3 linked regions of the Caenorhabditis elegans genome follow. The protein of the gene in region 3 binds, or shares a complex with, the protein of the main gene of each other region. Each region holds a gene or a part of one and is shown on either strand. Other genes may lie near its edges.

Evidence for each region.
Region 1: arx-6 (region 3) and C46H11.3 share a complex: the UniProt entries of both Caenorhabditis elegans proteins name them as parts of the arp2/3 complex.
Region 2: arx-6 (region 3) and arx-1 share a complex: the UniProt entries of both Caenorhabditis elegans proteins name them as parts of the arp2/3 complex.

Annotation. Positions count from the first base shown.
Region 1 is NC_003279.8:5,039,398-5,042,702, reverse strand, and holds C46H11.3 (putative actin-related protein 2/3 complex subunit 5), read right to left. Parts: upstream 1,334-3,305; 5' UTR 1,212-1,333; coding exon 1,139-1,211; intron 1,060-1,138; coding exon 944-1,059; intron 900-943; coding exon 648-899; 3' UTR 611-647; downstream 1-610. Other genes in the region: C46H11.7 (ShKT domain-containing protein), read left to right, coding at 1-322, 369-508; lfe-2 (Inositol-trisphosphate 3-kinase homolog), read right to left, coding at 1,938-2,033, 2,764-3,114. UniProt on the Caenorhabditis elegans protein: Functions as a component of the Arp2/3 complex which is involved in regulation of actin polymerization and together with an activating nucleation-promoting factor (NPF) mediates the formation of branched actin networks.
Region 2 is NC_003279.8:2,890,667-2,895,383, reverse strand, and holds the start of arx-1 (Actin-related protein 3), read left to right. Parts: upstream 1-1,665; 5' UTR 1,666-1,670; coding exon 1,671-1,773; intron 1,774-1,827; coding exon 1,828-1,970; intron 1,971-2,640; coding exon 2,641-2,751; intron 2,752-3,916; coding exon 3,917-4,078; intron 4,079-4,122; coding exon of another isoform or gene 4,123-4,717. Other genes in the region: Y71F9AL.6 (Protein PBN1), read right to left, coding at 4,123-4,717. UniProt on the Caenorhabditis elegans protein: Functions as ATP-binding component of the Arp2/3 complex which is involved in regulation of actin polymerization and together with an activating nucleation-promoting factor (NPF) mediates the formation of branched actin networks.
Region 3 is NC_003281.10:4,877,115-4,880,279, reverse strand, and holds arx-6 (putative actin-related protein 2/3 complex subunit 4), read right to left. Parts: upstream 1,623-3,165; 5' UTR 1,618-1,622; coding exon 1,507-1,617; intron 1,367-1,506; coding exon 1,147-1,366; intron 1,102-1,146; coding exon 1,001-1,101; intron 956-1,000; coding exon 878-955; 3' UTR 637-877; downstream 1-636. Other genes in the region: C35D10.1 (ER membrane protein complex subunit 7 homolog), read right to left, coding at 1-206, 429-533; Protein tost-1, read left to right, coding at 1,970-2,108, 2,159-2,268, 2,384-2,563. UniProt on the Caenorhabditis elegans protein: Functions as actin-binding component of the Arp2/3 complex which is involved in regulation of actin polymerization and together with an activating nucleation-promoting factor (NPF) mediates the formation of branched actin networks.

The sequences.
Region 1 (3,305 bases), on a different chromosome or scaffold from region 3:
TCGTGTGCTGATCGCCTCAATCCATCTACCGGGGTCTCTGATTGTCCAGCACTTGCCTATCTTTGCAACGACACCACCTACTACACAGTCATGACTCAACAATGTCCAAGAACATGCGGTCGTTGTAACTCAACTACCACAAGCTCCACTAGCTGTGCCGATCTTGTAAACCCATCCACCGGAGTTTCTGATTGTACTGCACGAGCTTCTTTGTGCAATGATTCAGTCTACTATGCCGTCATGACTCAACAATGCCCAAGAACTTGTGGAAGATGTAACTCAAGCTCTACCGTAACTTCATCTTCCTCCACAACAGCTTCAAGTAAGATTAATAATTGTTCATAACGTTCCATGTCTGAACTTTTCAGCCACCTGTGTTGACCAAGTCAACGCAGCTACAGGAGTCTCCGATTGTCCAAACCGTCGTGCATTCTGTACCAATTCTGCCTACGCAACCCTTATGAGAGCTCAATGCCCACTCACTTGCGGATTCTGCACTTCTGGATAATCTTCATTTTTTCTTGAATCATTTTATTTATTTCCTAATATATTTGGTTGTTGTAAATTTGAACTTCTTCATATAAAAAACTTTGGATCTTGGAGTTTTATTGCAGAAATTAACAGATACATGTACCTTCATTAAAAAATTAGAGACGTTGTCGATTGGACAACACTCGAACAATGGATCCCTGCCCAAATTTTGATACCAATTGAGAATGCCACAATAGTAGAGAAAGACACGTGGCAGAATCAGAGCATAGTTGCATTGCTTTGTAAATATACTTCATCAGAATGTCTCCATTTTCATTTGACAGCTTGTGAACTGATTCTTCAATATCGGTCTGTCGAAATGCATGAATAACCTCGGCCACAAGGAGAACAGCACGGTTCTTGAGTTCCTAAAAGGGAAAGAGGTTTGCAAAATGACATTAAAAAATAAAACCTGTTCAGAATGACCAAATGGTGGGTTTAAGAGAACGGATTGAAGAGCATATTCAAGTCGATTTGACTCCAGAAATTGCCGAACCTCTTGCACATTTGGCCCACAATCTGCAGATTCTGAAAAAATTTTCAAAAATTATTTATTGAAATATTATTATTTATTCAAAAATTAATTATTGAATTCAGATTGACTAACCTTCCTGAATATCTTCAAAATGAGCTGGATGAAAAATATCAACATTGTACTTTTTATAGTCAGTGTTGTACATTATCTACAATAGAAAAACATTTCTGAATGAAAACCTAAAAAATGATATAAGAAAGCTTTTTTGAAGTCTCTTTGAAATTTTGAATAAGAGCACCAATTGTCCACTCTTTTGTGAAATTCGAAAACGTTTGTTCTGCTGCATACCAAATTTCATAGATTCTTGTTTCTGAACAATTTTCTTTTAATCCCCAAATAATTGCCATAAGTTTTTTGTTTTGCCTAGTACTTTTCACTAGGCAATCGGCCGATATGCACTGGGAACAATTGCACCTGCTCTAGCTTTTAAAGCAAAGACTTCAATAGATTGTTGTTTGGATCTAAATTGCAACTGGACATTTCAAAAATTTCTCTTCATTTGAGAATAAAAATATACAAATTGTACCCAATCAATTAATCCATTACTCGGATCGTACACAATGGAACAAAAAAAACAACTGAAAGTAAGAAGAAAGTCTAGGGATTATGCCATGGTAAAGGAAAAGAGAAGGGGAAAGCGATAGATTAAAAAGTGAAAATCTATTTTCTTTTTCAAAAAATCTATTTTCTTTTTCAAAAAACCAACAAAAACAAGGACTGGCTGGAGGGGGTGTAAAATTGAATAATAGCAAATTGTACACGGATGAGGATTTTGTGGAGGAGCGGTGGGGAATCACAGAAATTATTATGGCGGAATATGAAGAGACACACACTTTCATCTATCTACAGTAATCCAAGGAGGTAGAAGCTTCTACGATTTCGTATTTTTCATTCTGGCAATCACTTCCTCTGTGACCATTAACTGGTCATCAGGATGTTCTCCGTACTCGGGGAGTTCTTCGAGAATCTGAAAATATTTGAATTATAATTCAACTACTTGGTAACATTTAAAATTTATGAGAAGAAAAATAAATATAGTGTCAAGAATTTGAAAATATATAAATTGATTTTCCGCACCTCTTATCTATATTAGTTACCGAATATTCTCTAATAGTATTAAATCCCACTACTTTATTTTTGCTTTAAAAAATTTTAAAACAATATGAAACACTTTCCAATATTTTTTCCAATTTATTCAAAAATGTTACGGTTTTTATGTCCCCATATCAGTTCTGTGAATTTATTGATCTCAACATCCCCCGGTTATAACTACACTTTTACCTCCATTCTCGTTTTTCTCCCCGTTTCACCTGTTCCCTATTATCTTTTCTTTCTTTTTTTATGTAACTTTTACTCGAGTTGAACTCTTTTAGGGTTCGTCTCGTTTTATTTGTTTATTTCTCTTCTTTTAGTTAAATAAACTCAAATTCAAAAGAAAAATAAATATAGTGTCAAGAATTTGAAAATATATAAATTGATTTTCCGCACCTCTTATCTATATTAGTTACCGAATATTCTCTAATAGTATTAAATCCCACTACTTTATTTTTGCTTTAAAAAATTTTAAAACAATATGAAACACTTTCCAATATTTTTCCGTTAACAATTTTTGTATAGGACAAAAGGCAACTGAGTTTAATAGTAAGGTGCTACATTAATAATATTTAAATAAAAAATTCTAAGAAAACCAAGCTTACCTTGACTAAATTATCGATTCCTATCAAATACCCATCTTCATTATTCCCAGGTATCCACGTCGTCCGATGGTTTAGTGTTCGTCCATTAGGAACCGGTGAACTCTTTGCAAAGTCAATCATCCAGCATCCCACTTTTTCCGTATCAAAAACAATCAGAATACTGCTTCCGACGACTTCATGTGAATTGAAGAATGATGAATGTTCGATGGCTTTTCGCATTGATTTCAGTCGTTCAATTAATTGTTGTCTTACACGGCTTCTTTGAGTTCCAAAGAAGTCCATAAATGTAGTTGTGACATCTTCAACTGTTCGTACTTTTTTGAAGTTTTTCTCCAATGCGCCTTCGAGCCTCTGGAAATAAATGCGATGTTGAAGAGTTTAGGGTTTGAAGAAAACTTGTTATGTTAACATTTAGAATTCTAAATATACCCATGAATTGGATGGAAAAACATATGTTTTATAAAGATTAAAGCTTTGAGCACTGCGGAAGTCAGGTACACAGCTGGAGCTCTAATTTGAGCCAAGTAAGGACCAAAAACTTC
Region 2 (4,717 bases), on a different chromosome or scaffold from region 3:
GAAAGATTATGATTGCATGCTGGTCTATTTTATTTGAATAAATCATGATTTTTTTACTTTTTTTCATTTATCTTTGGGGTAAGAAAATGTTCTCTAAATCAGTAATTTACATGGAGAAATTTGCTCGAAAAAATTCAAAAAAAATACAGTAAGAAAATTGTCGTAAAGTCTAGGGTTTTGGTATTGCGGACTACGACAAAATGCACACAAACCATTTTGGCACCGGAAAAAGGCAAAAGCCAGGATTTTATCGCGTTTTGGCTCATTTTTCTTGCAAATTTCCATGGAATTCAGTTAACATATACCTAATTATTCAGTTATTTCGAATTAATCAATAATTTTCAGTGAATTTCGCAATTTCTAAGTGGTCCAATGATGTCTGTCCACATATTTCCTTGAAAACTGATTGTTTTATCGGAATTTATTGATTTAAAATAATATATATAATAAAATCTGAATTTTAGAATCATTTTTGACGTGGAAAAGACCCGAAAAATCCAAAAATCACGAATAAACTGAACAATTAAGGTATTAATTTTTGATCCCCCACCCCCAGTTTCTCAGTTTCTCAGCAAAGGATTAAAACAATTGTTCTTCTTCTTTTCCCCCTACAAGAATTTCCTGTGAATTTCAATCGTAAAAATATCGATTTTCTGTTTATTCTTTGGATGAGTCACCGCACTCGCCGATTGTTTAACTAGTGCAGTTCGGCAGTTTTACGTTATTTTTTCACGATTTTTTGGATTCTGATCCTCTAGGTGACTTGAAAATACCGAATTTCATATCGTAATATGACAGAAAAATTTATGGCGGTAAAAAAATGCGGAAAAATTTTCTAATTTTAACGGAAAACTCCAAAAAGCCGTTGGAAAATGATTTTTATTTGATATTGGCATATTTAAATAATTTTTATCCTGTTTTTTAGTGGATTTGGATATTTTAACCCGATAGTTATGTATAACGGCTTAAAAATTGCCAAAATCAGCGAAAAAACGCGAGAAAAATCACTTAAATATGGAAAATAGAACAATAATCAAATAAACCCGATTATCCAAGCCAAAACTGAGTTTTTTTTTTCGCATTTTTGAACTTCAAAATTTCGAAAAAATGGGCTATTTTTAACGAAAATCCCCAATTTTGCAATTTTTTCGTGTCACAGCCGTCGGAAATTGATTTTTATTTGATTTTTGACACATTTGAGTGATTTTATCCTTTTTTTTTCGTGGATTTAGGTACTTTTAGCCGATAGTTACGTATTGCTAAAATACTGGCTTAATAAGTAGCTAAATCGACGAAAAAATATGTTTTAAAAAACCAAAAATGGCAAAATTTTACGATTTTTGCTAAATCTTTTTTTTTTTTGAAATTTTAAATCGTCATAAAATTATTTAGCTAAATTTTTGTTAAACATTTCAGCGAAAAACTCCATTTTTGCCAATTTTTTGTGTCACAGCGGTTGAAAATTGCGTTAATTTAGGTATATTTGAAGCCAAAAAAGGAACAAAATTAATTTATTTGCAAAATTATCAATTTCCGGCTTAAAAACGCTCCAAGATTGGAGATTTCAGCGGAAATTAGCCCATTTTTTCGAATTTCTAAACCGCTAGACTGAAATTCCGTCTTTTTCTCCCATTTAAAACAAAAAAAATCCCAAATTTTTTGCAGCAAGCATGTCGGCCCATCAACTACCGGCATGTGTGATCGACAATGGAACGGGTTATACGAAGCTCGGATATGCTGGGAACACGGAACCTCAGTTTATTATTCCATCTGGTTAGATTTATTGATTTTCAGCCTATTTTTCATAAAATCCAGTGAATTTTCCAGCAATTGCCGTGAAGGACAAGGTGGCGAGCTCGAATTCGCAGGCGATGCGCTGGAATAACCGAGTCGGAGCCGGGATAGACGATCTTGATTTCTTTATTGGAGATGAAGCTTTGTCGCCGGCCGCTACGAATTATACTGTCAAAGTTCGTAGTTAATAGACCATATTTATGCTCCTGATGTCAAATATCAATGTGAAATTTTTTTTTTTAATTCCCAGATTTTATATAATTTTTTAAAATCCAAAAATCCTAATTTTAAATTTAAACGACAAAATTTTGCATGATAACCGTGCCGCAGGTGTGGATTTACGAGATTAATATTTTTAATTCATTTTTATTTAATTTTCACACCGATTTTCCCGTTTTTTCGTTGTTATACATTGAAATTCTTGGGATTTTCATAAATTTATTCATAAATTTACTTTTTATTAATGAAAACAAATTAAATTACAAGAAATATCGAACTTTTGCTGAAAAAATCGAATATTTCACGTATTTTTGTTGTTTTCATTAATAAAAAGTCATAAATTAATGGAAATCATGATAATTTTAATGTAAAACAAGGAAAAATCGGGAAAATCGGTGTGAAAATTAAATAAAAATGAATGAAAAATATTAGTCTCGTAAATCCACACATGCGGCACGGTTATCATGCAAAATTTGTCGTTTCTGAATTTAACATTTTGGACTTTTGGATTAAAAAAAATATAATTTTTTATAAAATCGGGAATTTTATTTTTTGAATTTTTCACATTGATATTAGGTATCAGGAGCATATGGAAAAAATGTTTAAAATTAAAATTAAATTTTTTAGTATCCAATTCGGCATGGAATCGTCGAAGACTGGGATCTTATGGAACGATACTGGGAGCAGTGCATTTTCAAATACTTGAGAGCCGAGCCAGAGGATCATTTCTTCCTTTTGGTACGGGAGAGAAGCAGAAAATTCGGGAAAAAATGCTCTGGAACAATATTTTGGCCACTTTTAAAAGAAAAGGGGGTCGAAAATCCGTTTTTTTAATAGAAAATATCCTGTAAAATGGATGTAAATCGGTGAAAAGCTATATATTACAGAAAAAACACGTGAAAAGTGATAAATTTCGATGAAAAAAGCTTAAAAATCACGAAATTTTGCAATTTTTGACTCTAAAATTACGGTATCCGGTCTTGACAGGACAATTTTTTTGGAAATAAAGCATGTGATACCAATTTAAAAAATACGTAAAAATTTTGAAAAAAACGGGAGAAAAATCAAGGAATTTCCCCCGAAAACTCCGGTATTTTTAAGCTTTATTAATTAAAATTAATTAAATGAAAAATCTACATTTTTTCAAAAAAATAGCAAAAAAAATTTTTTTTCGTATTAAAATCCTAATTTTATAGGAAAAGCTGTTTTTTTGAAGATATGGCTTTAATTTTCTATTTAAAAAATCGTTTTTTTTTTCTGGAAATTTACAAAATTTTGTTTCTAATTTTTTTTAAAGTAAGGGTCCCGCCACGATCTACCTGAGCTTCAACTTTCAGGCTTAAAGTTGGTGTAGTCGAATTTTTTTTTTGCTTTATTAGAATCAAAATTGTCTAAAAACACCGAATTTCATAATGAAACTTCTTGAAAAAAAACAGTTATGACGGTTCAAAAAATCGGCTAAAATTAGTTAAAATTTGAAATTTGGCCTTTTGAAATTACCGTCAAATTTTAGATATATAAGTTTATTATCGTGCGTTTTCAACTCGATTTAGGTATTTTAAAGTCGGTGGACTTGGAGATTTGGTAATAAAAATTTAAAAATCTCCAAGTCCACCGGCTTTAAAATACCTAAATCGAGTTGAAAACGCACAATAATCAACTTATATATCTAAAATTTGACGGTAATTTCAAAAGGCCAAATTTCAAATTTTAACTGTTTTAGGCCATTTTTTTGGAGCCGCCATAACTTTTTTTTTGAGAAGTTTTCAATTCATTATGAAATTCGGTGTTTTCAGACAATTTTTGAGTCTAATAAAGCAATTTTTTTTTTAAAAATCGACTACACCACCTTTAAATAGCGAATATTAGGCAGTTTTCCACGAAAAAATTTGAAAATTTCCAGACGGAACCACCACTCAACACTCCGGAAAACCGAGAATATACTGCTGAAATTATGTTCGAGTCGTTCAACGTGCCAGGCTTGTACATAGCCGTTCAGGCCGTCCTAGCGTTGACTGCCAGCTGGAATTCCAGAGAAGCCAACGAGCGAAGCTTGACTGGATTGGTAGGAAATTTTTTCGCTTTTGAGAAAAAAAAATTTTTATTATTTTATTTGTCACTTATTAAATAGCCAAAAATGCAAATTAATACCAGCAAAAACATGAAAAATATAATGAAAAACGACAATTTACACATTCCCGACAATGATGGATACTTGTTCCCGTCTACTTCGGCTTCTCCTGCAACTGCAAAAAAATCGAATTGCTCCTCACCATCAAGCGCTCCGAATCCCAAAATATCCTCATCGAAACTCGAAACCTCGCGGAGCAACACAGGCAGCTCTTGCAGCCAGAAACTTCCAGTTTTCCGTGGATCTTGCTCCAAATGCGTCAGAAATAGATGCCAAATTTGGCGGAATCTCTCCTTTTCGGCTTGTCGGCGGTTCGCATTTTCTAGCTGCTCATGATCTTCGGCTTCAGCGTGGAAAGCGGTTCTGAGTGCTTCTTCGTCGATTTTCGGGATGTACGCAGAAATTGCCATGTCGAGTAGAGAGTGTGGGAGACTGAGAGGGACAGGGAGAGATGACGTGGATTCTGGTGTACCGACGACGATCGATAATGTTTTCGAGGTACCTGTGTACCATCTGCCGTCTCTGCTAGCAATTGCATAACACGCAAGAAAAACGCCAAAAATAATGTATAAC
Region 3 (3,165 bases):
ATCTTTCCTTTTGATGTGATATCAACGCGAATTGGCTCAAAGACAAAATCTGTATTTTCGATTTGAACAATATAGGTTCCAGTAGGCACGAAATCAACACGGAATGTACAATCTTGACGAACAAATCCCATATATTGGCCATGGTTCAAATGAATACGAGCACCTGCGGACCATTTTGCACAATTTCGAGTAGATGGAAGTGCGATCTGAAATTTTTTTTTTGAGGACTATGAAATATTTAATTTACAACGAATTTGTTGTTATTAGAATAGGAACCTAGAAGATAAAATTTTAAAAAATGTGAGAACTGGAAAAAGTATTCAGAAGCATATAAACGTTGTCTTAATTTATAATATGACTTCTCTATGAATATAGCCAAAATGATCGATATTTTTAATCCAAAAATCAAACATTTTTGGTATACGAACCTCGCCTTCGACGGAGAATAATGTCGATGTTTGCTCAGTTCTGCTCACTTCTTCTGTTGCACTGCCGAGCACTATCAGGGAGAATAAAAGTAGAATAGACTTCATTTCTGAAATTGATTTGTCAATTTCCAACTTAATAATCATTTTAAAATATTAAAGCTCGTAAATGTTTCACGAGATATTTCAGATCATACATATTGCAAAAATTGAATAAATAATTCATAAAGTCAGTGTGCGGTAAAAAAAATCGATAATCAAAAAGGCAAAATAGGACCTAAAACAGGAAATTTTTGGGAGGGGAGTCATTTTCAGAAACAAAAAGTGAAAAAATTGAGAATAAAGATGATATTTACACAAATTGATCAAAAAACCGTGTTCACATAATAGTTTAAAGTCTTCGGAATTTGAGTGAAAATGAGAAAAATGAATTGGGAATCATGGGGAGAAAATTAATTGAAACGCTTCAAAAATTCTTCAGCAGAAACACGGGCACGGGCGTTGAGAGACAGCTTCATCTCGGAAATTTCCTGGAAATTTATGGAATTTTTTAAAAATTAACTTAAAATGTTCACCTTATCAATTTCCTGCATAAAATGAAGCAAAAAGTCGACAAGTTTGTGCTTGAACATTGCTTCTGTGTGAGATGCTGTGATGAGGAACGAGATGTCATAACCTAAAATTATCGCTTTAATCTCTGAATATTAGTATTAATTCTGACCTGGCAGTGGCTTGCGACGGAGCACAAAGAAGTTATCGGCTCTTTGGCACATGAATCGAGTGAACTTGTGGCACAGAATCTTCTCGATTTCGTCGGATTGTTTGATGGCGATTGATATTCTGACAGAATTGACGGAGGGTTCGATGAGTACTCGTTCCTGTTTGTTTCGAGCAACAACAACTGGCGTCATGAGCAGTTCTTTCGATGTTTGAACTTCCACCTACAATTTTATTATAATATACAAATAGAATAATACATTTAAATAGTTTTTGAGCGAAAAACTATTGCAATTGGCGGCGGACTGATTTAAATTATTCAATCTTCACACTTTGCAAGTCATTTTACTGTTATAAATCTTACTTCTGGTTTGTTGTGTCTCTCGACCACCTGCGAACTGAATTGCTCAAGACAGAGAGCTGCCTGGAGCGTGTGACGCACGGCCTCCAGATATGGTTGGAGTGTTGCGCTCATTACCTGCAATGCGCATGCTTATTGATTTTTTTATTGACGAAACAGTTTGAGACATTATTTAGAAGTGAAAAAAGATTGCATGGAACAAAATAAAACATGAAATACCGGCGAAAATCGTAAAATTGGAGTCGATAATCCGAAAATGAATCATTATTTGCGTCGTTTTGAAAGTAATGCAAACACGCTCCGCTGCACTTTTTGTTTCGAGTAGCGCGCGAAGACAAATTTATCATCCATTCTTTTAAAAATTGTCAATTTTAAAATTAATTTTCTGATTTTCAATCATTCCACTTTCCCATTTTGCAAAATATTTTGCGTTTTCAGTAAAATTTAAAAATTTAAACCTTTCAGAATGACTACTGCCATCCAATATCAAGTTATTCCTTTAGCTGACCGTGAGCACAGCAACAAAGTGGCGTCGATTCTGGAAAACAAGTACAAAACTGCGACAAATAAACGAATCACATTGAATGAGCGCTTCGGAGTTCTCGGTAAATGTTTTCAAGCATTTTTGAATCATAATAACATAGTTGTCTTCCAGAAAAGGGGTACACTATTCAAGCCACTGAGCCAGAGACTGTCAAAAACGATTCTGATGTCTTCTTTGTCGTTCACGACCGGAACTTGAATTCGAAAAAGGAATTTGTGGAGGTAATTATTTAGACTATTCGAACTTTTAATCAAAGCACTGATATTAACACAACTCTTAATGTTTTCCTTAAAAAATGAAACTTTGAGATTTTATGAGAACCTGGTTATGTTTCAGAACTATCTCGCAAAAAATCCAATTGTCAATTCACCGGAGAAAGTTTTCGAAGAGGAGGACAAGGAGAATGCACCGACCAAGAAAGCTGTTTTGAAGCCGTCCTCTACTGATGAGAAGAAGCTCACCAGCTCGGATATCTACATTCAAGAAATCACCAGAAGCATTCTTCAATCCGTTTAATTTTTCCATAAATTGCAAAATTCATTTTCCAAAATTTATGTATTTTTCTCACAATTTTTGAGCAGCCCTTTTCTTCTTTAAGTGTTATAATTTCCCTCGTTTTCCCACACCCATGAACTTCAGTGCAAATTTTCATAATCTTATCCTACGATTTTCTGTGGTATTCCTTCGATAAGTAAATCGTTCAAAGTAAGTGCTTGTTTGATTTTCGTTTGAGCACGCAATAATTTCAAGATTGGCATAAAAAATAACTGAAATGGGAGCAGAAGTAATGGGAGAACGCTATGCTTCAATGCGGGATTTATTGCGCATTTGGTATTGAAACGAAAAGAGTAACATTTAAGTTCAAAGGACAGAGCATATGTGTGTAGGGGTCTCGCCGCGAGAAAAACATATTAAAAATAATCTTCTGTTAACGTAAGAAGACATTTAAACCAAGTATCTTTAATAAATACGATTCCCGCGGCGAGACCCTTTTGTATAAGCGCGTCTCCCTTGAAACTTGTAGAATTTTGCCAAAAATGCACAATAAGTGAATTTTCCAGTGGAATAGTGTCGGAATACAAAAGTGTTGAAAATCCTGATATGTAAACTACTACTAC